Linked DNA regions of Macaca mulatta. The protein of the gene in region 1 interacts with the protein of each later gene in a biochemical or structural test. Links are inferred from orthologs where the notes say so. Each region holds a gene or a part of one and is shown in the gene's direction. Other genes may lie near its edges. The genes, in order: PEX5, PEX13, AGXT, DDO and PEX7.

Evidence for each region.
Region 2: the proteins of PEX5 (region 1) and PEX13 form a complex in vitro, tested with the Homo sapiens proteins (3 studies listed by BioGRID). The link is inferred for Macaca mulatta from reciprocal best matches to the Homo sapiens genes PEX5 and PEX13.
Region 3: the proteins of PEX5 (region 1) and AGXT are reported together in a solved structure, tested with the Homo sapiens proteins (2 studies listed by BioGRID and IntAct, with this or other methods). The link is inferred for Macaca mulatta from reciprocal best matches to the Homo sapiens genes PEX5 and AGXT.
Region 4: the proteins of PEX5 (region 1) and DDO form a complex in vitro, tested with the Homo sapiens proteins (2 studies listed by BioGRID, with this or other methods). The link is inferred for Macaca mulatta from reciprocal best matches to the Homo sapiens genes PEX5 and DDO.
Region 5: the proteins of PEX5 (region 1) and PEX7 form a complex in vitro, tested with the Homo sapiens proteins (3 studies listed by BioGRID). The link is inferred for Macaca mulatta from reciprocal best matches to the Homo sapiens genes PEX5 and PEX7.

The regions. Positions count from the first base shown.
Region 1 is NC_133416.1:8,214,091-8,220,022, forward strand, and holds part of PEX5 (peroxisomal biogenesis factor 5), read left to right. Parts: intron 1-2,508; coding exon 2,509-2,611; intron 2,612-3,535; coding exon 3,536-3,626; intron 3,627-4,020; coding exon 4,021-4,131; intron 4,132-4,391; coding exon 4,392-4,484; intron 4,485-5,244; coding exon 5,245-5,364; intron 5,365-5,932.
Region 2 is NC_133418.1:63,753,560-63,760,086, reverse strand, and holds the start of PEX13 (peroxisomal biogenesis factor 13), read left to right. Parts: upstream 1-2,143; 5' UTR 2,144-2,226; coding exon 2,227-2,318; exon of another isoform or gene 2,319-2,728; intron 2,729-6,527. UniProt on the Homo sapiens protein: Component of the PEX13-PEX14 docking complex, a translocon channel that specifically mediates the import of peroxisomal cargo proteins bound to PEX5 receptor.
Region 3 is NC_133417.1:146,146,000-146,151,931, forward strand, and holds part of AGXT (alanine--glyoxylate aminotransferase), read left to right. Parts: intron 1-790; coding exon 791-855; intron 856-1,503; coding exon 1,504-1,604; intron 1,605-2,834; coding exon 2,835-2,905; intron 2,906-3,824; coding exon 3,825-3,909; intron 3,910-4,966; coding exon 4,967-5,062; intron 5,063-5,797; coding exon 5,798-5,867; exon of another isoform or gene 5,868-5,932. UniProt on the Homo sapiens protein: Peroxisomal aminotransferase that catalyzes the transamination of glyoxylate to glycine and contributes to the glyoxylate detoxification.
Region 4 is NC_133409.1:15,435,413-15,440,694, reverse strand, and holds the end of DDO (D-aspartate oxidase), read left to right. Parts: intron 1-1,653; coding exon 1,654-2,221; 3' UTR 2,222-3,198; downstream 3,199-5,282. UniProt on the Homo sapiens protein: Selectively catalyzes the oxidative deamination of acidic amino acids. Suppresses the level of D-aspartate in the brain, an amino acid that can act as an agonist for glutamate receptors. Protects the organism from the toxicity of D-amino acids.
Region 5 is NC_133409.1:41,957,605-41,963,536, forward strand, and holds part of PEX7 (peroxisomal biogenesis factor 7), read left to right. Parts: intron 1-931; coding exon 932-1,009; intron 1,010-1,387; coding exon 1,388-1,496; intron 1,497-5,932. UniProt on the Homo sapiens protein: Receptor required for the peroxisomal import of proteins containing a C-terminal PTS2-type peroxisomal targeting signal. Specifically binds to cargo proteins containing a PTS2 peroxisomal targeting signal in the cytosol.

The DNA.
Region 1 (5,932 bases):
GATTTAAATGTGGGTAGGCTGACCCTAGAACCTGTATTCTTCTCCACAGTGCTGCTATTTAGCAGACACAGAAACTTTCATGAGTAAGAGTAGTAGCAAGTTCTGAGTTTTTGAATTTTGAGCTTGGGAAAGATGTGCCTAGAAGGAATGAGTAAACAATGAGAAATTATATGAGGCGCACATTTTGAGTGGGATATTTGGTATCTAGGTTGTTCTCACTCTGCTAATCTATGACCTCAGGCAGGGGCATCCCCTCTTTAGACCTTAGTTGCCTTGATCTCAGATGTATCCACGTGGATCTGATTTTCTGTAGAAATTTCTCAAAGGTTGTGAAGGCAATGTGTTACTCTTCTGATTCTTTTGGTTATTTGACTCTTTCGTTGGAGTAGGTTCCCAATGCCAAGAAATTCTGGGTCTTGTGGCTAATATGGCCAAATACCAAAATTTGAGGATGGCTTTTCTCAGCTCTGGGATTTTTTTCCCTAAACTGCCTCATATCTATTGTTAAGTCCTCATGTCTGTTGTAAAAATTCAAAGGTGCTTTGTATTTTTTCTGTTTTTTTTTTTTTTTTGTCCTTGAGAGGACCATTTCATAGCAATTTGAAATATTTTCTGTGAATTTGAGGAGCACTTAGGACCAGAATATGCTTTTGTAAAATACTGTAGTTGAGAGTTAGGAGCGATTGGAGAGTTGAGGAGGGAGTAGTTATTTTTCAACAGAATGGAACTAAGAATTTCAACTAAGAATGGAACTAAGGAACTAGGAGATCTTAAAGTCTCTTTGAGTATTAAGCATCTCCTTTCTGTCTCCACACTTGAGGCAACAGTCTCATTGGGGCAAATGGAAGAGAAATGCTTCCTGTAAGAGCTAGTGAGCAGAATCTGCATTGAATTTTTGAGAGTCCTTGAAATTAAGAGACCGGATCTATGGTCAAAAAACGATTGCCAACCATATTTCTTATTACATTATACATTATATATTATAAGGTATATGTATAATGTATAATGATGTATGTGTATAATGTCTTATATACATTATAATATATAATGTAATAAGTAGTAATTATTTTTTATAATTAGGGGTATTCTGAGAATCTTGATCCTTTGTTTTTCACATTTGACATTTCATGCTCAGATTTTGAGACTACTTTGTTGACATTATTCAGGCAAAGTCTCAGTTAAAATGGAGTAAAAGTTTTTATACTTTAATACCAAAGGGGTAAGTTGACTTTCTCACTGTTAAAAGCAAGGGCAGTCAGATCTTGAAACTAGGGACAGACTGCTAGTATCAGCTAATACTTTCACAGCCCTGCCCAAATGTCCCTCTTTAATGCAAATTGGAGTTAGTAGGTTCTCAACAAGAGAATGGAGTTCCCCCTTGGGAACTGTCCTTGTCATGGGCCAGGAGGGGGGAATAGCTGGGGAAAATGGTGGCAGACTAACGAGTAAGATTAGTTCTGGACACAGGGCAGAAGGAAAGAACACTGCAGGCTTGTAGCTTCTCTTTGTTTCCTTGTTCTTTAGGGCCCGCAGTCAGTCTCCTTGTTGTTTTTCTGGCTTCAGGATATTAAGGGCAAAGTCCTGGAGGTTGAAAAACAGTTCAGCACCCTCATTGAGTTTGTTGCCTTGATAGGTTTATTCTGATGTTGCAGCAGTCCCCTTCGTCACTAGAGCTTCTGAGACAGTTTCTAGATTTAGACTGAAAAAACATAGCTACTCAAAGATAATCAAAAGTGAGAAAAGTCAGAATAGTGTTTACTTCTGTGGGCTGGGAGACTGAGGTAGCCTGTGAGGGAACTGTAAACATTCTGTGTCTTGATCCGGGTGGTGGTTATGTGAGTGTATTCATATGTGGACGTTAGTTTAGCTGTACACTTACGTTTGGTAGACATTGTATGGTTTCATATTTGTATGTTATATTTCAATTAAAAAATGAAAAAACCCACCAGACATCCATAGGGAAGAGCAGATCCATGTATCTTTCATTCTAGCCTAGCATTCCACTTCTCTGGTTCTCTTGGTAGGCAAATTACAATGAAATAAGGCTCCTTTGGCCGGGATTATGTGAACTCGGGGTAGAGGGAGAACAAACCAGAGGGTTGGTTAAGGAACAGGAGCCCTTCTGTGCTCCCTTCACTCCTTACTGGCTCTCTGCTGTACTTTTGAGGAAAGTGAAGGCCCTTCTGCTTCCTATTTCTTACTGAAATATCTTGTACTTCAAGCAAAAGAGTTTGGTTCTTAATCCTTTCCTGAGCTTCCTTATTTGATCTCCCGTTCCCAACTCTCGGTAAATTTCTGCCCCAGGCTCCTTGAGAATGGGTTGGATATTGAGTTTGTTGAAAATTTAGTAGTATATTCTTTTGACCAGGGGTTTCTGAGGGAGTCAACAGAGCTTTGTCTGCTTTGGTGTGGCTAAGAGGGTCAGTTGAATGTGGACATCTCTTTCCCTTTCCCTGAGCCCACACTGAATGAACCCGTGTGATTTCCCCACCTCTCTGCTCCTTGCAGACCCCTTGTCTGTGTCCCCCGCCCGCTGGGCTGAGGAATATTTGGAGCAATCAGAGGAGAAGCTGTGGCTGGGAGAACCTGAGGGAACAGCCACCGATCGCTGGTGAGTTCAGCTGCCCCTTTCCAAATCCTGTGAAAGGAGTATGGAGAGTTTTCCAGCCTCCTCTAACCTCCTCCATCCACGTTCTCAAACCAACTTACTTTATTACTTAAGATTTCCCGTTGGATTATTACTCCTGTGAATTTATGGTTCAAATGTAGTCAAGGACTGGGTGGTTGTGTGCCTGTACTCGGGAAACTGAGGTAGGAGGATTACTTGGGCCCAGGAGGTCAAGTCTGGCCCGAGCAACATAGTAAGACTTTGTCTTTAAAAAAAAAAAAGCACATGCATGTGCACACACAGAGCCACACACACATACACATATGTATACATGCATACATATATACATGTATATGTACATGTGTATATACACATACATGTATACACATACACGTATACATATATACACATGTAGATACATACACATGTATATATGCCTGCACATACACATACACATGCATACACATACATGTATATACATACATGCACATATGTATACACACATGTATATATACATATATACATATCAGCTGTATTTGGGAGGAAGGGAGTTTTCAGGTCATTTTAAAATATATGTATATATGTAAATATATATATTTTTCAAGAATCCTAACTATCCTATATGAAGTTCATAACTACATCTTAAAGCTCATAATTTTACCTTGTTCCCTTCTTAATTTTGAGCCTGCTACTATCACATCTATATGCAAAGATATGTTTGGGAAAGGGAGAGGTAAAAGGATGTAGCTAGTACTTTCACACTCCTGCCCAAATGTCCTTCTATAATGCAAATTGGAGTTTGTAGGTTCTCAACAGAAGAATGGAGTTCCCCCATAGGAACTGTCATTGTCATGGGCTAGGAGTGGGGAGTCGCATGGGGAAGGTGATGGCAGACTAATGTGTAAAATTAGTTCTTACCCGTTCCAGGTACGATGAATATCATTCTGAGGAGGATCTGCAGCACACGGCCAGTGACTTTGTGGCCAAAGTGGATGACCCCAAATTGGCTAATTCTGAGGTGAGCCACATCCCTCTGCTGCTTTGCCCAGCAGAGCTGGTTTTGGAAGGCAAGAATCTCGCTTCCCTTACCCCAGTTTAAAGAGAAGGAGAAGAGATCCTGGGTCTCTTCCTTCCTGTCTGTAGAACAGAGACTTAAGATCCTGCCTCTTCCTGCTAGTGTTCATTCCCTCAACTCCTTGCCTCCTAACTCTTGTTTCTGATGCCTTTTCACGTCTTTAGAGCCAGAAATCCCTTTCTTTTTGCTCTCTACTTCTTTTAGCGTCTTTAGCATATCTTGTCTGCAGCTAGAGATGGTCAGGGGAGGGGTGAGTACAGGCTCCTCTTGGGCATGATTGAGAGTGCACACCTGGAAGTCCTTTCCCAAGTGGCCTGTGTGTGTCTCTGTGCCCCAGTTCCTGAAATTCGTGCGGCAGATTGGCGAAGGGCAGGTGTCCCTGGAGTCCGGTGCAGGGTCGGGCCGAGCTCAGGCAGAACAGTGGGCAGCAGAGTTTATACAGCAGCAGGTAGGACATTGTCACTTTCCAGTCCCACTTCAGAGCCAGCTGATGGCCCAGGCCATGGGTTCAGTGGTCAGTGGTCCCCGATGGGGAAGGATGAGGCCAGCTTGTCTTGATAGCACCCAGGTCCCAAGTGGGTGGGAAAGAGATTCTGAGAATGGTTTTCTCAGAAGTACCCAGGTTGGTGGTGTTTAGTGGGTATTTAGTGTGTGTCTGAAGGGTGGAAAGTTGGTGGTGGTGGTACTGACCATCCTTTTTTGTCACAGGGCACATCAGATGCCTGGGTTGACCAGTTCACAAGACCAGTAAACACATCTGCCCTTGATATGGAGTTTGAACGAGCCAAGTCAGCTATAGAGGTGAGAGCAGATAGTGCAGGAGGAGGCAACCCGAAAGAAAACACTCCTTGGAGTGAGTGGGTGTCTTGGAGTGAGTGGGTGCCTTGGAGTGAGTGGGTGCCTTGGAGTGAGTGGGTGCCTTGGAGTGAGTGGGTGTATGAACATCAAAGATGGTGCAAACTGTCCTGGATCATCTGTGTCAGAGTTGCTTGGGGATGGGGTGGGTGCTGTTCAAAAATGCAGATTTCTGGGCCACACATGGTGGCTCATGCCTATAATCTCAGCACTTTGGGAGCCCGAGGTGGGTGGATGACCTGAGGTTAGGAGTTTGAGACCAGCCTCAACAACATGGAGAAACCCCATGTCTCTACTAAAAATACAAAATTTGCGTGGTGTGGTGGCGCATGCCTGTAATCCCAGCTACTTGGGAGGCTGAGGCAGGATAATCGCTTGAACCTGGGAGTTGGAGGTTGCAACGAGATGAGATCATGCCGTTGCACTCTAGCCTGGGCAACAAGAGCAAAACTCTGTCTCAAACAAAAAAGTAAACAAAACAAAACAAAACTAAACTACAGATTTCTGGCCATCACCCCAGACTACTAAATAAGTATCTGGGGATAGGATCCGGCCATCTGCATTTTTAAAAAGTTATTCACATGATTCTTAACCATGTTGAAATTCAAGAACTGCTGCCTTAGGGAATCAGTCCCAGCAGAGCTGAGAGTGGGGTGGGGTGGTCATGATGGATCTCCTTTTTCTATCCGCCTTCCCTTCCTTACAGTCTGATGTCGATTTCTGGGACAAGTTGCAGGCAGAGTTGGAGGAGATGGCAAAACGGGATGCTGAGGCTCACCCCTGGCTTTCTGACTATGATGACCTCACGTCAGCTACCTATGATAAGGTAAGGTAAAAACTCTTAGTTTTTCAGGTTCCAGAACTTCCTTCTTTTTAATATGTTTCCTTTAATCCTGAATTTGAAGGGTGCTTTTAAGTATTTTCTTGAGTCCCTTTCCATGAAAAGAAGTCTGAATCATTCCCTTGCCCTTCCTCTTCAGTGATTGAGTATATACTTTATTCTTGGGATATAGATGTTACTGAGACTACCTTTGTCAATAACGACAATCCAGTACACAACACCTGTGAAGGAGGTTTGCACTTGCTTGCCGCATTAAGAGCACAGAGGAAGTAGCTGTGCTTGGAGGTCAGATTGGGAGCTTTTTGAGAAGACTGCTGACTCCTTTGGTGGGGAGTGTTAGTGGGCAGACTATCCCTTTGCCTCCACATCTTACTATCTGTTTACTTTTTAAACTCACACGTTCATTTTAAGTTCTTATCTTTTATAGGTACTAGCCACTTGCCCTAATTTAGGGTTTTCAAATAATTTATATTAAATAACTTAAATATTAGGGAAATTTCCTACTAGTATGAAAGATGATTGCATTTTGCATATGGTGCTGTTGACTTAGAAG
Region 2 (6,527 bases), on another chromosome or scaffold:
GCACGTGCTTGTAGTCCCAGCTACTCCAGAGGCTGAGGCAGGAGAATCGCCTGAACCCAGGAGGCAGAGGTTGCAGTGAGCCAAGATCGCACCACTGTACTCCAGCCTGGGCGAAAGACCGAGACTCCATCTCAAAATAAATAAATAAATAAATAAATAAATAAATAAATAAATAAATAAAATCTGTGTGGTCAAGGTCAAGTCATTATTATTTACTAGTGATCTGTATCCCTTTTCCCAGTCCATTTAATCTAGTTTGATGCAGAGAAAAGATTGGATGCTGTGAGGGGCTGAATATAAGCATTTACAGTGCATCTCTGACTACATACACAGAGAAACTGTTTCTGTTTCACCGGTTATTCTAAGTTATTTTTTCTCCATTAGTTTAGCTTAAGACTTTTACTTAATTCAGAAGTAACATTTAACTCAAAAAGAAACACAAATACACCCTCTTCCAATAAACAAATCAATAAGCACTTTAAAAGGACACTTAATGATTTCCCTAGAGACTTAAATAGCTATATTAAAATTTATTTTATTTTCCATGGCTATAAGACCATGTTTATTTCTCCAATAAATTCACAAGAACAAAGGTATCATGCAAAGCGAATAAACGACACATTACAAACTCCTGGCTCTGAGAAGTTCCCAAACCTGATTGATGAGAATTACAAAACTTCCAGTCCTGAGTAATTTGAAGAGGTCTAAAAATAGACCCCAAACAAACAAAAAGACCTCTTTTGAATGTGTGTTAATAAACGAGCTATGAATTTACAAACCTCTCAACATCATTTTCACCTCCTAACAATCTATCAACTTCTCAATTTCACCTACCAACAATCCATCAACATTAAAAGGAGAAAACACGTTACGCCTTAAATTTGATTGTTTCATCGTGAGGTAATAAAATGTCAGGATTTCATAAGACATCAGAAATCGGTTGTCCATATTAGATTATGCTTGAAAGCAAGCCCTGAAAAAGGCATCCCATAATGTAAGTTTTCCAGTGTTGGTTACCCTCAAGATGTTTGCTTTTCGTTTACGTGTTTGTTTTATAGAAACAACGCTAACAAGTTGCTACACAGCCGCCTTTCACGTGTCAGGCTCCCTAGGAGGACTGAATCCCTCCTCCCCAGACCAAGGATAACTAGCCCAGTCTCTGGCTTACTGGAGGAGAGGAAGGACTTTATTTTCACCTCCTGGACGATTACAAAAACTAGTCATCGAAAACGAGGAAACGAGCAGGGTGTGAGAAAAAACTGCCTGAGTCTCATATCCTAAGATCTTTTAAACTCCTTTCCCTACCGAAGGGTGTCATTCGTACCGCGGCGTGGGGCTGGGGGTGTGGATTTACGGGGAAAAAGGTGATCACACTTCACTGGGCTTCTGAAACATTCAGCTATGGAATCTACTGTGGACTCTTGAAAAGTTCATCCCGAGATCTAACCTCAAGCCTCAGTTTTGGCCAAGCAAGCCCTTCCCCCTTCGGTCAGGTGCAACAAACTTCCCACTCACCCCTCCTTTGCTAACAAAGCCGCTCCAGCAGGAGAGAAATGACCTCTCTCTCTCGCCACACCTCTTCTGCACCCAGTCTGCACTCCTTCACCTCATACGTACCCGCCTCACCTTCTCCCCAGACGCCGGAGCCTGAGATTTAACCCCTTCCGGCCCTCGAAGGGAACGGGGAAGACTAAAGACAACGCACCTATTGCGTCTAGCAATTCTGTTCCCCGAGGAAACGTGAGCTTTAAACGAAAGTACCAGCCCGTTCTCGCTAGGACTAAGTGAGCTTCTCCCTTCTTGTTTGTAGGGAAATCCGTCAAATCGCCTACTTTGCCACCTCACCCCACTGCCCCCGCGACTGTAGGAGTGCGTGGGGCTTTACTCCCAGCCTTACTGGTCCACTCCCAGAAAAGCCTCTGTCGGACTCTGACGTCTAGGGAGTCGTAGCCGTTGCCAGAAATATCGATGAGCCTTTACCCTGAGATTTAGAACAGGAGCTTTTTCTGGGGCACATACAAAGAACGTGTTTCTTCCTACAAATTAGTAGCATCCTCTCGCTGTATGGATTCAGCTGGCGAAGTAACTCAAGCCTTGTTCTGACTGCCAGGGTGGGAGGGGTGGACGGCTCGGTGTTCTTCCCGTTGTGCCTTGCGCTCGAGGTGCTGGTCTACGCTGGCCTGGACAGTCCGGGCTAGGAGCGGGAGCCGAGCGGAGGCGGAGGAGATGGCGTCCCAGCCGCCACCTCCCCCGAAACCCTGGGAGACCCGCCGAATTCCGGGAGCCGGACCGGGACCAGGACCCGGCCCCACTTTCCAGTGAGTGTGGGATTCTTCAGGCTGGGAGGTTGGTGGGCCCGAGCGGGGACTTGGCCGAAGGCGGTTGAAGCGGTTGTTGGGGGAGGTATTCCCTCCCCCCCTTTTAACCAGTCCCCAACCTTGCGGGTAGGAGTCGAGGTGGAGTTGGGGCGCTTACCAGTGGGGATTTTTCAGTGTCTCACAGCTGTTTCTGACCCCCGGCAACTCTTAAGCACCAACGTTTTTTTCGGGAGCTCCTGGGCGTCTCTCTGGGTCTCTGTGCTTGAAAGAAAGCGGGGCGGCTTCCTACCTACCCATTCTGTTTTCACTTTGACAGAACGGCTTCACTATCTTTAGAGCATAGACTTTGGGTCTGTAGCAGTTGACAGAGGCATTTGTCCAGCCACGGCATCGGTAGGGAACAAAGTCTCGTTAAAGGTGTTAACCTCTCGAGAAGTTGCCGAAAGCCCGAAAGGTTTTACGCAACTAGAACTCAGGCCCCGAACGCTTTGCCTTCTTTTCCAGCGTAACTCAGCCAGTGTTTCAGTTTGAGATTGGAGAAGCAACATTAAAGCAGGAGTTCTAGATCTGAGGCCTATGGATGGCCTTTGTGTGCAAAATGATGTATTTTTCTGAGGGCTATAGTTTTTTGTTTGGTTTTTAATCAGTATCAGTTGGTTTCTAGGACTTTGAAAAGGCTAAAACATGCAGAGTTGGGAGTGTTTCATGGCCTCGTGTGGCTTTTGTTTGGTAGTACTGGACATCTTAATTCAGATAGGTGTGATTCAAATGTCAAATCAACTACTATTGTAGATTTTCGTAAGCGTAAAAACCCCAACATATTGGAATGTATTTCTGCTGTGTTCTGAAATCTTTTATTTAAACACTAAAATGCTTTAACACGGTAACTACTTAGTTTAATAAGGATATATACATCACAAGTAATAAGCTTTAATTAGGCTGGTAAGCCACGGTGACATTATCTGCTACCTTTTTTATGATTCGGTTCTTTTTTCCCCATTTAGACTGCTTGTCGAATGAGAAGAGGTTTTATTTTTTGCATCTGTTAAAGTTCTTTTTATGTAAAATTAACCATTTGCTCACTTTATCATGAAATATTTTAAACACAGAGACTAGCAGAGAGTAAGAATACCTGTTTATTCACTACCCAACTTTAAAAAATGTTAACATTTGCCAAATTTATGTCGCATTTTTAAAAATAAAAGTTAAAGTCTCCCATTCTTCTTTGTAGTAGTGACTATTGTCCTTATTTGGTGTTTCGCATACCCAGTAATGTTTTTTAACTTTAGTACTTAGGTTTGTGCTATTTATATGCATTTTATATCTAAAACTTAACAATGTAACAGTAATATATATGTTATATATAGTTACATGTTAATGTTTATTATTTTTTATATCTGTTTTTGTTTTTTCTGTTGCCCAATTTTCTATTGGCTTTATCTTTGCTTATCAATTTGTAAGAGTATTGTTAATACTAATCCTTTTTTGTTACTACATTTTGCTAATATCTTTCTCTGTGTGGCTTCTCTTCATGTTCAATTTTTTGTACAGATGTTTTTGATTTTAATATTGCCAAAACTGTCGTATTTTATTGTTTGTGCTTTTTGTCTTGGTCAAGAAATCCTGTCTACCTAGATCAGGACGGTTCTTCTGTATGTTTTCTTTTAAATCTTCTGGTTTTCCCATTTATATATTTAATCCACATGGAACTAACTTTGTATAAAAATCGATGTGAAGTAGGGAATCTAATTTTTTTTCCATATAGGTAACTAATTGTCTCAGCACCATTTATTGAGTAGTCTATTCTCAGTTTATAATGCCATCTATATCATACCAAGTTTTCCTAAATATGTAGTTCTGTTTTGGGCACTTTCTGACTTTCTACTAGCACCACACTATCTTAATACAGAATTTTATAAGTTTTGATATGTAGTATGTCAAGAGTTTCCACACATTGCTGTTCTTTGTAATTGCCCTTGTTACACTTAGTCCTTTATAAAAAGACTTACTGGGATTTTTATTGGAACTGAGCTGAATTTATGGATCAAGTAAGTTTTTATTCCATGAATGTTGTATAAGCTACAATTGGTGAGAATTTTGATAATCTTTTTGCCTTAAATATCTTATAATTATCCACTTTGGGAGGCTGAGGCTAGCAGATCACGAGGTCAGGAGATCGAGACCATCCTGGCTAACACGGTGAAACCCCGTCTCTACTAAAAATACAAAAAAAAAATTAGTCGGGTGTGGTGGCGGGCACCTGTAGTCCCAGCTACTCAGGAGGCTGAGGCAGGAGAATGACGTGAACCCACAAAGCAGAGCTTGCAGTGAGCTGAGATCATGCCACTGCACAGCAGCCTGGGCAACAGAGGAAGACTCCCATCTCAAAAAAAAAAAAAACTTGGCCGGGCGCGGTGGCTCATGCCTGTAATCCCAGCACTTTGGGAGGCCAAGGCGGGCGGATCACAAGGGCAGGAGATCGAGACCACGGTGAAACCCCGTCTCTACTAAAAATACAAAAAATTAGCCGGGCGCGGTGGCGGGCACCTGTAGTCCCAGCTACTCAGGAGGCTAAGGCAGGAGAATGGCGGCAACCTGGGAGGCGGAGCTTGCAGTGAGCCGAGATCGCGCCACTGCACTCCAGCCTGGGTGACAGAGCGGGACTCTGCCTCAAAAAAAAAAAAACTTAAACTATCTCCATGAAATTTTTTCCCATATTTTTTATTCATAGATTATTTTTGCTGTAGTAGTTGCAAATGGGCTTTCTTTTTTCTTTTTACATTTTCCAGTTGGTTATTAACTGGTATGGCAGAATGCTATTTTTTTAATGTAAATATTATATGCAGCATAATCTCAAACTCTTAATTAGTTCTGATGGTTTGGTTGAAATTCTCTTTAGTTCTGTATAGCCAGTTATGTAATTTACAGATAAGCTAGCATCCTTATATTGGTCCTGACTTCCATTGGAGTGCTTCTGAAGTTTTACTGTTAAATGTGAAGTTAGCTTTTTGTTTTTGATAGATATCTTGTCAAAATTCTCTCTCTCTACCTTGTTCAGAGTTTTTAAATTTTATTTTTATTATTTTTGTTTGAGATGGAGTCTCACTGTGTCTCCCAGGCTGGAGTGCAGAGGTGCAATCTTGGCTCATGGCAACCTCTACCTCCTGGGTTCAAGCAATTCTCCTGCCTCAGTCTCCCAGACAGTTGAGACTACAGGTGCATGCCACTCTGCCCAGCTAATTTTTGTATTTTTAATAGAGATGGGGTTTCACTATGTTGGCCATGCTGGTCTCGAACTCCTGAACTCAGGTGATCTGCCTGCCTAGGCCTCCCAAAGCGCTGGGATTATAGGTGTGAGCCACTATGCCTGGCCCTTACCTTGCTCAGATTTTTATCATTAAGAAATATTAAATTTTATGAATGGCTTTTCTGCATCTGTTGAGACCATTGTGTGTATTTTTGCTTTAATATGAAAATGTGGGAATAGGAACAGCTCTGGTCTGCAGTTCCCAGCGTGATTGATGCAGAGGACAGGTGATTTCTGCATTTCCATCTGAGGTACCTGATTTATCTCATTGGAACTGGTTGGACACTGGGCGCACTCCATGGAGGGTGAGCCGAAGCAAGGCAGGACGTCACCTCACTCAGGAAGCGCAAGGGGTCAGGGGATTTCCCTTTCCTAAGCAAAGGACACCATGACAGACTGTACCTGGAAAAACGGGACACTTTCGCCCAAATACTGGGCTTTTCCCACATTCTTAGCAACCAGCAGACCAGGAGATTCTCTCCCATGCCTGGCTCGGTGGGTCCCATGCTCACGGAGCCTTACTCAGTGCTAGCACAGCAGTCTGAGATCAATCTGTGAGGCAGCAGCCTGGCAGGGGGAGGGGCGTCTGCCATTACTGAGGGTTGAGTAGGTAAACAGAGCAGCAGGAAAGCTCGAACTGGGAGGAGCCCACTGCAGTTCCGCAAGGCCTACTGCCTCTATAGACTCCACCTCTGTGGGCAGATAGCTGAACAAAAGGCAGCAGAAACTTCTGCAGACTTAAAACGTCCCTGTCTGACAGCTCTGAAGAGAGCAGTGGTTCTCCCAGCATGGTGTTTGAGCTCTGAGAACGGACAGACTGCCTCCTCAAAGTGGGTCCCTGACCCCCGTGTAGCCTGACTGGGAAACATCTCCCAGTAGGGACCGAAAGACACCTCAAACAG
Region 3 (5,932 bases), on another chromosome or scaffold:
GAGACAGACAGGAGCAAGAGTGTGCCCTGGGGTCAGTGCTTGATTGTGGCATTGAGGGACATCAGCTTGGCCAGCTCCACAGTGGCCACGCTGGTTAATACTCAACCAACCGCCACAGCCAAGACGGTCCCAATCCAAAGTCCACAAACTTTTCAAGGGGACCCAGGGTCAGCAGAGGCCAGGACCCCAAGTGGTCATCAGGGCACTCAGGCTCAGATGCCTGCGGTATATGGCCTCCCCTGTCCCCATTCTGTACCCTCGGCTGCAAGTTCTTCCCCTCCCACAACCCTGGCCACGAGCAGCACGCAGGATAGAGGCAGAGAGAAGGAGGGGACGAGGGCCTGATTCCTGGAGTCCCAGCTCCAACAGAGGGCCAGACTGCTGCCTCGCTCACCCCTCATCCTTCGCTCTGTCATCCACCACACCAGTGGTGTGCCAGCCCTGGGCCAGGTGCACTCCTTGTGCCAGCCCTGGGCCAGGTGCGGCCCCGACCCCCAGGAGCTCACTCTGCTTGGGGAGACACTGGCCAGTGTGGCCTGAGAAAGGGTGTTTGAGCTGAGCTCTGTCAAGGGCACCCCAGGAGCCTTGGCTCCAACAGTCGGGGGGTCAAGATGGCCCTGGCTCTACACACAGAGAGGCTCTCACTGGGCAGAGAACACCCTCCTCTTCAGGCAGCCAGGGTGGGGTCCAGCCCTCACAGGGCCCCCCTGCTCAGCAGGGCCACGGGTGCCCAACGCTGGCTTCTACAGTGTGTGCGGGACACTCACGGCCCACTCTGTCCTGCACCCAGGAGCCCGAGTGCACCCAATGACCAAGGACCCTGGAGGCCACTACACACTGCAGGAGGTGGAGGAGGTAGGGGGACCCAGGGTGGGGGTCAGGTCTGCAAGGAGGTTGGGGGGCATGCTGGCTCATGCGCTGCCTGGCAGTGACCAGCCAGTGGGGTGGGATCAGAGCCGGGAGGCTGGGGCCCATGGCTGGCCCTCAGCCCATCCTAGCATCTCCTGAGTGGCCACAGGGGAGGGCTCCATTACCTGGGAATGATGGGAAGACTGGTAGGGAGGCTTCTGTCTGGCAGGGAAACTGAGTCAGGAGCTTGGTCCTGTGGGCAGGGTCAGAGGGGCTGGAGGCAGGAGACAGGGTTGTGGTCAGGGCTGCAGAGCATGTCCCTGACACTCAGGATACTCCACCCTGTGGGCTGAAGTCAGCCTCAACCTACCTGGAGTGTGGGGGACTCCGTCCATCTAGCAACAGCCCTCACAGGCCAGGCAGCAGGCTGGGGCCACCCTTCCTCCACCTCTGCGCAAAAGTCCTGTTCTCGGAAAAGCCCTCCTCCCAAATCGGAGATGCCCCCGCCTCCGCCTCGCATGCACACCGTCAGGGAGGGGTTGAGGCGCACCCAGCCCCTGCTGCCTGGAGCTGGGCCACCCATGGGGGGTTTGTTGGGGGGTTCCTGGCCCCTGCCACTCTGAGCTTCGCCTGCAGCCATCCCTGCCTCCCCAGGGCCTGGCCCAGCACAAGCCGGTGCTGCTGTTCTTGACCCACGGGGAGTCGTCCACCGGCGTGCTGCAGCCCCTTGACGGTTTTGGGGAACTCTGCCACAGGTGAACCTGGCCCCAGGGCGGTGGGCCAGAGCACAGCTCAGAGCCAGGCTGTGGGGAGGGGTGGTTACTGGTCCCTCTGGCGCTTCTGCCCCTGGTCCCCACCTTGGCCTCTGTCACATGGTGTGGGGTGCAAGCACCTCTCAGGTCCTCTTTGCTCTGGGCTGAGTCTAAAGACAATCCCAGGCCCCGGGGCAGGCTCAGGTGCTCCCTGGCCAAGCACCCCCACGGTGCCCACTGACCTCTGTCCCCATGACTGAAGAGGGCTTGGCACAGACCTCCATATCTTGCCAGGGCCTGTCCCCACCTCGCCCCGAGATTGCAAGGGCACTAAAGCTCCCTGATGCCCTCCGCTTCCCTCCTCCAGCCTCCCTTACCCCCGCATGGGGGTGCACAGGGCAGGGCCTTGAATGGAGTCAGACGGGATTCCTGAGAAATGGGGACAGAGCCCCTTGGGACCTAGCAGTCCCGTCGGCAGGTCTGAGCACAGGACAGAGGAGAGAAACTCCACGGCCAGGGAGGATCCTTCAGCAGGGCCCCCAGCCCGGACAGCTTGCTACATGGACCGTGGCCATGAATAAAGCTCACAAACATAACCTGGCCGGCTTCAGCAACACCCAGGCCGTCCCCACCTGCAGCCAGCACGAGATACTTTCTGTATCTTTCTTTTCTTTACAAGAAAATATGGAGGTGGACGAGGGTGAGAGTTCAGAGGGCGAGAGTTTGGAGGGTGAGAGTTCGGAGGGTGAGAGTTCGCGGTGCTGCTGTTTGTGCTGTTCTGGGACTCTGTCCCCTCCGGCCCTGGACTCTGGCCAGTGGCTGGGCCGAGCAGCTGTTGGCAGAGGGAGGCCCAGCTTGGTGCCACCGTGGTCCCTGGGGTCCACACAGGCCCTCATGTGCCTGCTGTCCCTGGGGAACCACAGACTGCCCGGCTGACCCTCTTCGGCACCACTGCAGGGCCCTGCAGCTGGGTCCCACCAGGGCCATGATGCTCCCTCACTCCCCCAGCTCCTTCTGCTCCAATGATCAGGGCTGCAAAAGAAAGAGCCACAGGTCCTGACGGATCCTGACAGGCAGGAGAAGGCAACTGGCCAACTCCTGGGGCACAGGTGGGAGGCACCCCCCCTTCCTTGCCAGCCTGAGGCTCAGAAACCCCATCCAGACTGGGGCCCAAGCCCTCCAGCGGCCCCCTGCCTCACCTGCGGCCCTCCGTTCCATCCCCCATCTCTCTAGGTACAAGTGCCTGCTCCTGGTGGATTCGGTGGTATCCCTGGGTGGGACCCCTCTCTACATGGACCAGCAAGGTAAGGGTGTGCTCTGAGGGTCCTACCCAGCCCAAGCAGCCAGGGGCTCCGGGTGCAGGAAGCCCTGCTGGAAGTGCGCATCCGGCAGCCAACACTGCGGATTCGGCCTCATCTCCACCCGGCCCAGGGAAACACTCACTCCTTACTGGGGCAAGAGCGGCTCCATGAACTACCCGGCACCCCAGTGTTTCCACTGAGCTTTCAGATCCAGGCATGGGGACTGGCGGGAGGGACAGCTGGTGGGGGACATTTGAGAGGCCCCAGAGCTGTAGTAGAAGCAGTGGCCAGGGCTCCAGTCGATCAGGTGTAGGGGACCCCTCTGCCGAACCCCCAGAGGCTCAGTTTCACATCCGCCCTGCACCCCGCCAGGCTGCCCACAGCAGTGAGCACCACTGCACAGGGTCACCTCGCAGGGAAGCTCACCCAGGCCGGCCGAGGGGACCAAGGCGCCTCCTGTGCCCATCAGCACGTTTACGAGGGAGAGCCTGCACCCTGCGCCCACTGCGGTGCCTGCCCACCCACTCCATGGGAGCCTCTCTGTTTCTGCAGAGCCCCTCCTGATTTGGGAGATCTCAGGCAGGAAGGGAGGGATTTTTGGGCTGATCCTCAAACTACTACTGAAAGCAGGGACCTGGGGAGGGACCCGGGGACACGAGGCCAGGGACGGCAGGGCTGTCCCTGGGGACCATTCGCACAGCGGAGGGAGAAGCTGCGCTAAAAGGCTCAGGCCTGAGGTCATGGCTGCCACACAACAGTGCTGAGATTCGAACCCAGGATTCCCTTCCATGTCTCCCCTCCCATCGTGTCCGGATTCTTGTGGGGTCGTAGCCCACCAGCCCATTAGCTAGGCAGGCACCCCGCTGGACCGGCCTGCCCTGTGGTGGGGCTCCCCCGTCCCAAACAAACCACCCATCTACAGGCATCGACATCCTGTACTCGGGCTCCCAGAAGGTCCTGAACGCCCCCCCAGGGACCTCGTTCATCTCCTTCAGTGACAAGGCCAAGTGAGTGACCCACAGACCCTCACCTCTGTGCAGGGCTGGGCTCGCAGGGAGCTCAGGTGGCCCGAGGCAGGAGGGGCGGGAGCCAGGCTGGAAGGGCTCCCCAGGCTCCTCCAGCACCTGGCGCTCTCCTGCCCACCCTCCGGGAGGCCAAAGGCACTGCGTTCACGGGGAGTGGGGAGGCCAGGCAAGGGGAGGGCCGTGGGCATGTGCAGGGTGCAGAGTCCGCTGCTCTGGAAGTTCCCAGCTTCACACCAAGGAGTGGCCAGGAAAGAACTGAGGGCCTGGGGCCCAGCACCCCGACCCACCCTGGCTTGGCTTCCAGGGGCTGCCCCAAGGCACAACGTGGACCACACATGGTGCCCCCTGCAGTCCCAATCTCACCTCCCGCTCCTGGTGTCCAGATTCCGAGCCAGGCCAGGCAGGGGTGGGGGAAGAGGGCCAGGCCTCACAGGCGGTTCACATCCAGCTGCAGCCTGGCAACTGGAGGTGCCATTCCCCAGAACAGAGAGGACTTTGGGGTGAAGTCAGGAATTCGGTGTTGGACGTGGGAGGTCTGAGATGCCCGTTGGATCACAGGGGAGGGTGAAGGAGGCGGCTGGGTGTGAGTCAGGAGCCTGGGGAAAGACCGGGGCTGGCCCACCAACTTGGAGTTGTAGAGACGGACACATTTAAAGTTTTAAGCCTGGCCAGTGTGCCCTGGGGCCCGAAAGCAGTCACCTTTGGATGATGTGAGAAATGAAGGCTGACCCTGTAGGAAGGGCTGGGGGAGAGAAAGGGGCACACAGAATGGAGGGAGCTGGCCTCAGTGCCCCCATGGCAGGGTCACACCCACATGGGCAGAGGTGCAGGCTGGGCCCAAGGGCCAGCGGTACTGGACAGCTGAGGGACCCAGGACCTGCCCGGTCCCACATTGGCCCCTGAGTATAAATGCAGCTGGGGCAGGCCCTCCTGGGGGCCCCACCCCGTCTCACTCCTGTGAAACAGGACAGCCAGCAAGACTGCTCCTGCCTTCAGCCCAAACTGAGGGGCCGGTGCTCAGGCTGCTTTTCCTCCCCAGAAAGAAGATGTACTCCCGCAAGACGAAGCCCTTCTCCTTCTACCTGGACATCAAGTGGCTGGCCAACTTCTGGGGTTGTGACGGCCAGCCCAGGATGTGAGGCCCGGCAGGGACGGGAAGGTGTGGGGGGTGCTGGGAATGGCTGGCTGGGGGGACGCTGACCTTTCACTGCACTCAGGGATTCTCCGAGCCCCCCACCTTCATGCCACAAGAACCCCAATCAGAGTCCCAGAACTCACCTGCATCGGGCGGTCGGCATGCCCCACCCTGGGTTTCCCCATCCCTCGACTGGCCCGAGGCTCTGGGCAGGGGCATGGCCCCCACTGCCTCTTCCACAAACTCTGTCCCCCCGCTCAGAGGTCCCAGCACATCCTCGGGCACTTTGGACCTGGCCCTGCCATATCTCCCCACTCCTGGGCCTCAGTTTATCCCCTTTCAAAAGATAATCTTGGCCATAAACCCAAGGCCCCTTATGTTACACACAGGGACAAGGCTCCAGGAATGCTGCCCTAGCCCAGTGGGCACAGAGGGCCAGTGCTGGCTTCGTGGGCACGCTGGGGCTGAGGGGCTCAGCAGGGTGGTGGTGGTGTGTGTCTCTGCTCCTGTACCACCCACCGCATCCTGGCCGGGCCCCACATGGAGCCATGCTCTCCCCGGCAGACAAAGCTGCCTTCCCGGTCCAAAGTTCTGAACCCAGACAAGACTCCTGTGGCGGATACCGGCCTGTGCTCAGACAGCCTGTGCTGTTGGGGCTGGGGCAGACAGAGCTAATGCCCCATCTGCCCCCAAACCTGCCCGTGGTGCTGGACCAAGCCCCCTCGTATCTTCCAGGTACCATCACACGATCCCCGTCATCAGCCTGTACAGCCTGAGAGAGAGCCTGGCCCTCATTGCGGAACAGGTGCGTGGGCTGCACTCCACAGGAGGAGACAGGGCCACTGGCTGGATTGTCGAGGGCACGGCCTG
Region 4 (5,282 bases), on another chromosome or scaffold:
AGTTATTTTACCTTTAAAAACATTTATCTATTACTGTATGTTTAAGAACATAATTTAAGTTTCTAAATTGGTTGTTCTTACCGAGAGAGCCAAAAAAAACCCTGTCCCCATAAATTTGCTACATTAAATACTTTTTATCTATGAACAGTTTTACTTATAAAACAAACAAACAAACACAACAGTAGCTCCAGCTTCATTCTCTCTCTTTTAACTACTTTTAGTTACACCAAAAAGTAATTCATTGGCTTTATTGGTTCTCTGTGGCCCCAAAGTGTAGATGCTTGCCCGATTCTTTTCTTTGGTTTGCTCGTCTCAGGTAAACAACATACTCCCTTCCTTGGATTTTTAGAATAAAAAGCAACCGAATTTAGGTTCTGTCGTTTGAAGCACTGATGCTGGCAATGCAGCTTGCATTTAATAGGAAGTGCGTTGTAGGTTCATGTGATCTCAGAGCAAGCGGAACCTCTGAGTTCTTCTTGCCTCCTGAGGGTGCTGGACAGAGTACAAGCCCTCAACAAATATTTGTTGAATAATCAATGAGTCTAATCCAGAGGGTTCAAACTGTTCTTGAAACTGCTCAGTGGAGATACTTCAGAGGTCTCTGCAGAGGGAGGGAGTGTGAAGAGACTGAGCAGATGGAGCTCTGCCCAGCAGCTTGGCCTTCAGTCAAATGCAGAGAACTGCAAAGATGCTGAGACGACAGCCTGTGGCTGGTACTTGATGGAATATGAAGCTGAGCTATTGGGGTCAGGGTCTAAGATGCCACTGAGTAGCAATGTTGATCTCTTCCGCACTCATCAACGTGAGGCATTTTTTTTCTTCCTTCCTTTCTTTCTTTCTTTCTTTCTTTCTTTCTTTCTTTCTTTCTTTCTTTCTTTCTTTCTTTCTTTCTTTCTTTCTTTCTTTCCTTCCTTCTTTCTCTTTCTTTTCTTTCTTCCTTCCTTTCTTTCTTTCTTTCTTTCTTTCTTTCTTTCTTTCTTTCTTTCTTTCTTTCTTTCTTTCTTGCTGTTAGGTGTATTTTACCTCAATTTAAATAAAGACTACAGGTACTGGATAAGCCATTTCTTTTCATGATTGATATAGTTGGTCCAAAAAACATAACAATTACCAATCACAGCTGCCATTTAGCTCATTAGCTACAAATATTTTGTGTTCTTCTCGTGCTAACACACTTGTAGACATAAAGCTGGTGGGGATATGACCCCTGTATCTTTTAGTTAGGGAGACCAGACTAATACAAAGGAGCATGCAAGAGTTAACAATATGAGATAAAATGTATCAAATTTAGGTGTTAAATAAGTAGTAGAAATAAGAAATGCTTGGACATTTAAAATACCAAATCAACTTGGCATTTATTCAGCATCTATAACAATATAGGAATTCTACAAAATTTTAAAAGGGCAAAGCATGTAATTACCTTTGTTTTGAACTTTCAAGTGGTTTCCATTTAGATTCAACTTTAGAAATCCCCAGTTCCTAGGATGTGAAGCAGTTGATGGCTCGAATTTGGCCTGATTGGGCCCTGGAAGCTCCTGGGGTGTTTGTTCATCAGATGATTGCCTAATTTTTGTTCCTGGGTTCCTTTTCTTTACTTCCTAGAAGTAGTTGATCAGGATGCTGACAAAGGTTCACTTCATGACCTCTCTTCCATAGGATAAAAGGAAGTGGAGGCTGGATGCTCACTCGGCGAATAGACGACCTGTGGGAACTTTATCCGTCCTTCGACATCGTGGTCAACTGTTCAGGCCTTGGAAGCAGACAGCTTGCAGGAGACGCAAAGATTTTCCCTGTAAGGGGCCAAGTGCTCCAAGTTCAGGCTCCCTGGGTGGAGCATTTTATCCGAGATGGCAGTGGGCTGACGTATATTTATCCTGGTACATCCCATGTAACCCTAGGTGGAACTAGGCAAAAAGGGGACTGGAATCTGTCCCCAGATGCAGAAAATAGCAGAGAAATTCTTTCCCGATGCTGTGCTCTGGAGCCCTCCCTCCACGGAGCCTGCAACATCAGGGAGAAGGTGGGCTTGAGGCCCTACAGGCCAGGTGTGCGACTGCAGACAGAGCTCCTTGCCCGAGATGGCCGGAGGCTGCCTGTAGTCCACCACTATGGCCATGGGAGTGGGGGCATCTCGGTGCACTGGGGCACTGCTCTGGAGGCTGCCAGGCTGGTGAGCGAGTGTGTCCATGCCCTCAGGACCCCCATTCCCAAGTCAAAGCTGTAGATGACATAAAATGACAGCAAATAGACTGAGAGACTGTTGATCAAAGCACAGAATAGGTTCAAATGACTTTTCCACTGCATGTAAGTTTAATTAGACATTTCTTTGTTTTCAACATTAGAAGTGGTATAACATGTAAGCTGAGCACAGTGGCATGCCTATAGTCCCAGCTACTTGAGAGGCTGAGGCATGAGGATCACTTAAGCCCAGGAGTTTAAGTGCAATCTGGATAATATAACCAGACCCCACCTCTAAAAAACCCAACAACAACAAAAGAAATGATGCAACATGTAGGCTTCCTTAGGAAGTCTACCATTAATGACATAGGGCATAAAGCTCTATTTTTTGTTGAAAATACTTCTTATAGAGTAAAATTTCTTTAGAACTGATGTCCAAGGACCTATGCAGATTTATATGAATGTTGGAAGCTACAGAGATTTTGATATCATTTGGCTTATAAATCCACACGAAGAGATAATGTATGGAAAACGCTTAAATCACTGTCAATTGTAGAGCTGCCCGTGATCTTCGTAGGTTATAGCCAAGTCAGCAACATAATTCCTCTAAATAAAATTACATGGTGCTCACACAATGCAGGATTATTATGTTTAATTGAAGACAAAGCATGCTTGCTCCTAGTACTGGCGGCAACCTTTTCCTCCCCTCAGCTGGTAATGATGGTAGGAGACAGAGATGAAGCTGCCTGTGGATGTCATATCAATTCACTAGCTGCCTGGGGTCAAACACCTAGGGGTTGTACATTCCATTACTGTAAATGATTGAGAGCTGGTTTGCAGTATGGTTGGGTTAAGCATTTTTGAAGATGAACAGCATGTGCAGCCAAAGAACTAATTTGCTAATTAAGGTGAAACAATCATTCTGAATGAAATATAATCAGAGTATTCTGCAGTTTGTTAAGAAGTTTTGGGGAGGAGGGGAATGTGTCTCACAATAAAATGAGTTGGAATTGTGGAGCTAAATGAATTGAACCTGTTTTTTGACTCAGGCCTACTCAGAGCCTTTAATGTGTGCATGTGTAATGTGAATCCTCTAGAGAGCTTGGGTGGATGGAAAAGGACGTGCTGGTATTGAGGTAAAGAGGCTTGAGGAGGCTGGGCACGGTGGCTCACACCTCCAATCCCAGTACTTTGGGAGGCCGAGGTGGGTGGATCACCTGAGTTCAGGAGTTCAAGACCACCTTGGCCAGCATGGTGAAAGCTCATCTCTACAAAAATACAAAAATTAGCTGTGCATGATGGCGGGTGCCTGTAATCCCAGCTACTCAGGAGGCTGAGGTAGGAGAATCGCTTGAGCCCGGGAGATGGAGGTTTCAGTGAACTGAGACACACCATTACACTCCAGCCTGGGTGACAGAGGAAGACTCCGTCTCAAAAAAAAAAAAAAAAAAAAAAAAAAAGGCTTGAGGAGAAATGGCTTTAATTTTAATTTTTGGGGAAGATGACTTCTGTTAAATGATACAGTAAATTCTATTTTGGACATCCTGAGTGAGATATAGGGTTGCCAATGAAGAAAGTGTGGGAAAGAAGCTCTCAGCACAGCTACAGCTTTGCTGTTGTGTTCATTCAGAACTTGCATATAATTTTGTTTGCAGAGAACATTCTGCTGGTAGACAGCGAGAGAAGAGCCCACCAGTGTTTTATGCAATCAGAATCATTCCTTGCAGTATTAACATTCTCAAGGAAAATCAAATGTGGGCTCTTTTCTATAGACTTCCACCAGGGGGTGGTGTTGTATCAGATTCAGATACATTGGTACATTCAAAAATTTAGAAATGACTAGAAATAAAAGATGGATACCAGGTATATATATAGTGTGTGTGCTTCTTTTGAGATTTTGGAGTTTATACACCCCAAGTGCAACTCTTCTGAATTCTAAGTATTTGAGAAATGTATAAGTTTAGACAGACTGGAAACACACATATGTATCATACATAATCTGTGAAAAATAAAAGGTTATGATAAAATTGCATTTTTTAAAGAAGGAAATAATTTTTTAATAGTTAAAAATAAAAATGAAGGCCACGGTTCAGAATAGGTAGAATTTCTGTCATTTTGAGGCAGCTTTAAGTGTACTCCTTTGTTCACTGTGCCTGTGGTTTAGATCCTGTGGCATTTTCATTGCGTGTGGTGGCTCAACTTCTATGACCTTTGTGTATTTGCTACTCTAGTTCAGCTTCACTCTGCATTTTATATTTCTAAAGTGCAACGCTGCAAGAGTGCAAGATTGGAGGCTTCTTGAGAAAGTGGTTGTGGCTGCATGCCCTGATTTCATTTTCACTAATTGCTAAGTATTTGTTCGCAGTGTCTCTGAAATATTATTCATTTCGGTCAGTAGCTGCCAACCTGGGCTGCACCTTAGAATCACCTGGGAAGTTTTTAAACAATGTCGACGCCCAGCACTGCTTTATGAAATTAGAACCTTTGGTGGGTGAGGCGGAGCTGCTGCATCAGTGTTTACTTAAAGCTGTCCACGAAGTTCTGAGAGCCAGGGCTGAGAACCACTGAGCACTCTTTCCCTCCTCTCCTTCTAGGCCCCCGCTGCTAGCATCACCATTATCCTTCCCTTCCTTCCTCACTAACTTGGTGCATGGAGCTCAGAGGGATGTGCTCACTCAGGCAAGTGTGTCCTTAGGCACTTCTGGGCAAGCTGGCCTAGAAGAATTAGCTGTCTCCCAAAGTAGCTCTTTAGAAATACTGGAACCACCTTGCTGGCTATCGGTCAGCTGCTCCAAGACAGCTATCTGTCTTTATCTGAAAGACAAGAGACTGAGTGTACAAATGGACAATGGCTAGACCACATATAAAAATAGAACTCTGGCCCACGAGCTGCAGCAACCTGCCCAGGAAACCAATTCCCTTATCTACAATAAACAACACAGGAAGCCAGCCTCCTATGTGAGTATATCAGACTTGCAGGAAGCCAGATTGCTATCTCTAGAAATAATCCAGAAAGATAAACAATAACTTCTGTAACAATTTGCACAAAATGGCCAGGACTTGATTAATAACTGACAGCATCCCTAATTTTTGCCCCTACCTCTAAT
Region 5 (5,932 bases), on another chromosome or scaffold:
ATTCTACTGTATGTTTCTCTTAAGTTTGACTTTTTTAGATTCCATATATAAGTGACGGGATCAGTATTACTGATGTTTTTTTTCCTCAGCCTCCAACATGGCTCAACATAGTACTGGGCAGCAGAGAGAAAGTAACCCACATTTAAGTGGCTTAAGCCCAGATACTCATACTTCCTACATATATGTGGGAGAGAGTAATAAGATTCAAAGTAACCTGCTGGCTGATCACCAATGTGATATACCAATGGCATATACGCAGGTCCTTGTCAGGACTAATTTCATAAAGTATAATTATGCACATATTTTGTTGAACTTAGTTTACAGGAGTGATCTGTGTATAATCTGTTGTATAAAATGAAGGAATGAAAACATTTCCAAAAGTTTTCAAATGGTTCATTTGAAATGGTTCACTGAGAGCAGTGAAGCATACATTAGAATAGCAGCATTGGATAACTAAAACTGTTTACCAAGAGATCTGGAAGGATCACCTGGTTCCTGCAAGCTTTTTCTAGGAAAGGCCAGATAGGGATATTAATTGAATTTTAATGCTTTCCAATAAACATTGACCCAGCAAGCTTTTTTAGATGACTAACTTTCTAATCTGCTTTGACATTTCTTCGTGGGGCTGCAAACAGTGATTTGTTGGTAGGTTTTAAAATATGTATAATTTGTTTCAGTGAAGAAGGTTTGGAAGTATACTGTAGAATTCTATGAAAGCAGAATGGAGTCTTATCTGTAAGGAATAAGTCTGGAGGAATGGACAAGATCAACTTCTCATTTCTCGGACACCTTGTTGAGATGGATAGGAATTATTTGATGTTTTGACATAGTAAATTAGTTGTTCTGCCTCTCACTGTTATATAACAAGAGATAAAATGCAACGTTGAACTTGATGGTCTTTTGCTTTCTAAATGCTTTTGATTGTTTTTAGGTGTATAGTGTTGATTGGAGCCAAACCAGAGGTGAACAGCTTGTGGTGTCTGGCTCATGGGATCGAACTGTCAAATTGGTATGATAGCATTATTGTATTCGAAAACAAATATTCCCCTCTCTAGAGCTTCTGCTAAATTTTCTTTTCTTTTCCAAACATACTTCTGTAGCTTTATGATTGGATAGCTGAGTTTTCTTAAAAAAAAAAAATTAAAACATTTATTAGAACTTAAAATTTTCTAATCTTTTGGCTGTGAACTAATAGCTCAGCATTAGTTTGGCACTTAAATACCATCCTGCTTTATATCAAAATAGATCTTTAAAAATCCTTGAGATCTGTATATATATTGTATGTGTATATATAAATGTATATAGTTTATTGGTATGTATAGTATATGTAAAAGCATAAATTTGAATTTATCCCTCTTGAGCAATTGATCTATTCATTTATTTTTAGTGGGATCCAACTGTTGGAAAGTCTCTGTGCACCTTTAGAGGCCATGAAAGTATTATTTATAGCACAATCTGGTCTCCCCACATCCCTGGTTGTTTTGCTTCAGCCTCAGGTAAGTAATTCTGTATTTACCAAAAGCCTTATTTGTAGTGAATGGTGGCCTTGTTTTTACCATTAGGTGGCGCTGTGTACCTTAGATTCAAAGAGAAAACAGGAGCCTATTACTACTCTTTTGTGCTCTTAAGACTTTACTTGTTTTTTTTAATTTTTATTTTTTATTTTTATTATTATACTTTAAGTTCTAGGGTACATGTGCACAACATGCAGGTTTGTTACATATGTATACATGTGCCATGTTGGTTGCTGCACCCATTAACTGGTCATTTATATTAGGTATATCTCCTAATGCTATCCCTCCCCCCTTTCCCCACCCCATGACAGGCCCTGGTGTGTGATGTTCCCCATCCTGTGTCCAAGGGTTCTCATTGTTCAATTCCCACCTATGAGTGAGAACATGTGGTGTTTGGTTTTCTGTCCTTGCAATAGTTTGCTCAGAATGATGGTTTCCAGCTTTGTCCATGTCCCTACAAAGGACATGAACTCATGTTTTTTTATGGCTGCATAGTATTCTATGGTGTATATGTGCCACATTTTCTTAATCCAGTCTATCATTGATGGACATTTGGGTTGGTTCCAAGTCTTTGCTATTGTGAATAGTGCCACAATAAACATACATGTGCATGTGTCTTTATAGCAGCATGATTTATAATCCTTTGGGTATGTACCTAGTAATGGGATTGCTGGGTCAAATGGTATTTCTGGTTCTAGATCCTTGAGGAATTGCCACACTGTCTTCCACAATGGTTGAACTAGTTTACAATCCCACCAACAGTGTAAAAGTGTTCCTATTTCTCCACATCCTCTCTAGCACCTGTTGTTTCCTGACTTGTTAATGATCACCATTCTAACTGGTGTGAGATGGTATCTCATTGTGGTTTCGATTTGCATTTCTCTGATAGCCAGTGATGATGAGCATTTTTTCATGTGTCTGTTGGCTGCGTAAATGTCTTCTTTTGAGAAGTGTCTGTTCTTATCCTTCGCCCACTTTTTGATGCGGTTGTTTGATTTTTTTCTTGTAAATTTAAGTTCTTTGTAGATTCTGGATATTAGCTCATTGTCAGATGGGTAGACTGCAAAAATTTTCTCCCAATCTGTAGGTTGCCTGTTCACTGTGATGGTAGTTTCTTTTGCTGTGCAGAAGCTCTTTAGTTTAATTAGATCCCATTTGTCAATTTTGGCTTTTGTTGCCATTGCTTTTGGTGTTTTAGTCATGAAGTCCTTGCCCATGCCTATGAGCTGAATGGTATTGCATAGGTTTTCTTCTAGGGTTTTGATGGTTTTAAGTCTAACATTTAAGTCTTTAATCCATCTTGAATTAATTTTTGTATAAGATGTAAGGAAGGGATCCAGTTTCAGCTTTCTACATATGGCTAGCCAATTTTCCCAGCACCATTTATTAAATAGGGAATCCTTTCCCTATTTCTTGTTTTTGTCAGGTTTGTCAAAGATCAGATGGTTGTAGGTGTGTGGTATTATTTCTGAGGGCCCTGTTCTGTTCTATTGGTCTATACCTCTGTTTTGGTACCAGTACCATGCTGTTTTGGTTACTGTACCCTTGTAGTATAGTTTGAAGTCAGGTAGCATGATGCCTCCAGCTTTGCTCTTTTGGCTTAGGATTGTCTTGGCAATGTGGGCTCTTTTTTGGTTCCATATGAACTTTAAAGTAGTTTTTTCCAATTCTGTGAAGAGAGTCATTGGTAGCTTGATGGGGATGGCATCAAATCTATAAATTACCTTGGGCAGTATGGCCATTTTCACAATATTGATTCTTCCTATCCATGAGCATAGAATGTTCTTCCATTTGTTTGTGTCCTCTTTTATTTCACTGAGCAGTGGTTTGTAGTTCTCCTTGAAGAGGTCCTTCACATCCCTTGTAAGTTGGATTCCTAGGTATTTTATTCTCTTTGAAGCTATTGTGAATGGGAGTTCATTCATGATTTGGCTCTCTGTTTGTCTGTTATTGGTGTATAGGAATGCTTGTGATTTTTGAACATTGATTTTGTATCCTGAGACTTTGCTGAAGTTGTTTATCAGCTTAAGGAGATTTTGGGCTGAGACGATGGGGTTTTCTAAATATACAATCATGTCACCTGCAAACAGGGACAATTTGACTTCCTCTTTTCCTAATTGAATACCCTTTATTTCTTTCTCCTGCCTGATTGCCCTAGCCAGAACTTCCAACACTGTGTTGAATAGGAGGGGTGAGAGAGGGCATCCCTGTCTTGTGCTAGTTTTCAAAGGGAATGCTTCCAGGTTTTGCCCATTCAGTATGATATTGGCTGTGGGTTTGTCATAAATAGCTCTCATTATTTTGAGATACATCCCATCAATACCAAATTTATTGAGAGTTTTTCAGCATGAAGGGCTGTTGAATTTTGTCAAAGGCCTTTTCTGCATCTATTGAGATAATCATGTGGTTTTTGTCTTTGGTTCTGTTTTTGTGCTGGATTACATTTATTGATTTGCGTATGTTGAACCAGCCTTGCATCCTGGCGATGAAGCCCACTTGATGGTGGATAAGCTTTTTGATTTGCTGCTGGATTTGGTTTGCCGGTATTTTACTGAGGATTTTTGCATCGATGTTCATCAGGGATATTGGTCTAAAATTCTCTTTTTTTGTTGTGTCTCTGCCAGGCTTTGGTATCAGGATGATGCTGGCCTCATAAAATGAGTTAGGGAGGATTCCCTCTTTTTCTATTGATTGGAATAGTTTCAGAAGGAATGGTACCAGCTCCACTTTGTACCTCTGGTAGAATTCGACTGGTCCTGGACTTTTTTTGGTTGGTAGGCTATTATTGCCTCAATTTCAGAGCCTGGTATTCGTCTATTCAGGGATTCAGCTTCTTCCTGGTTTAGTCTTGTGAGGGTGTATGTGTCTAGGAATTTATCTGTTTCTTCTGGATTTTCTAGTTTATTTGCATAGAGGTGTTTATAGTATTCTCTGATGGTAGTTTGTATTTCTGTGGGATTGGTGGTGATATCCCCTTTATCATTTTTATTGCGTCTATTTGATTCTTCTCTCTTTTCTTCTTTATTAGTCTTGTTAGCAGTCTATCAATTTTGTTGATCTTTTCAAAAAACCAGCTCCTGGATTCACTGATTTTTTGAAGGGTTTTTTGTGTCTCTATCTCCTTCAGTTCTGCTCTGATCTTAATGATTTCTTGCCTTCTGCTAGCTTTTGAATGTGTTTGCTCTTGCTTCTCTAGTTCTTTTCATGTTGGGGGGTCAGTTTTAGATCTTTCCTGCTTTCTCTTGTGGGCATTTAGTGCTGTAAATTTCCCTCTACACACTGCTTTAAATGTGTCCCAGAGATTCTGGTATGTTGTATCTTTGTTCTCATTGGTTTCAAAGAACATCTTTATTTCTGCCTTCATTTCGTTATGTACCCAGTAGTCATTCAGGAGCAGGTTGTTCAGTTTCCATGAGGTTGAGTGGTTTTGAGTGAGTTTCTTAATCCTGAGTCTAGTTTCATTGCACTATGGTCCGGGAGACAGTTTGTTATAATTTCTGTTTTTTTACATTTGCTGAGGAGTGCTTTACTTCCAATTATGTGGTCAATTTTGGAATAAGTGTGATGTGGTGCTGAGAAGGATATATATTCTGTTGATTTGGGGTGGAGAGTTCTGTAGATGTCTGTTAGGTCCGCTTGATGCAGAGCTGAGTTCAATTCCTGGATACCCTTGTTAACTTTCTGTCTCGTTGATCTGTCTAATGTTGACAGTGGGGTGTTAAAGTCTCCCATTATTATGGTATGGGAGTCTAAGTCTCTTTGTAGGTGTCTAAGGACTTGTTTCATGAATCTGGGTTCTCATATATTGGGTGCATATATATTTAGGATAGTTAGCTCTTCTTGGTCCCTTTACTATTATGTAATGGCCTTCTTTGTCTCTTCTGATCTTTGTTGGTATAAAGTCTGTTTTATCAGAGACTAGGATTGCAACCCCTGCTTTTTTTCGTTTTCCGTTTGTTTGATAGATCTTCTGTCCCTTTATTTTGAGCCTATGTGTGTCTCTGCATGTGAGATGAGTCTCCTGAATATAGTACACTGATGGGTCTTGAATCTTTATCCAGTTTACCAGTCTGTGTCTTTTAATTGGAGCATTTAGCCTATTTACATTTAAGGTTAATATTGTTATGTGTGAATTTGATCCTGTGATTATGATGTTAGCTGGTTATTTTGCTTGTTAATTGATGCAGTTTCTTCCTAGCATCGATGGTCTTTACAATTTGGCATGTTTTTGCAGTAGCTGGTACCGGTTGTTCCTTTCCATGTTTAGGACTTTACTTCTTTATCAGCCTCTTGACAAGAATTAGCTGTGGTTCAGATTACTTTTCGATGATTCCAGCTCCTAAAGAATAATTCCTAGATTTCTGGCAAGGACAAATTCATGGATGGTAATGTTATAACTGAGATATGATACATGTTTG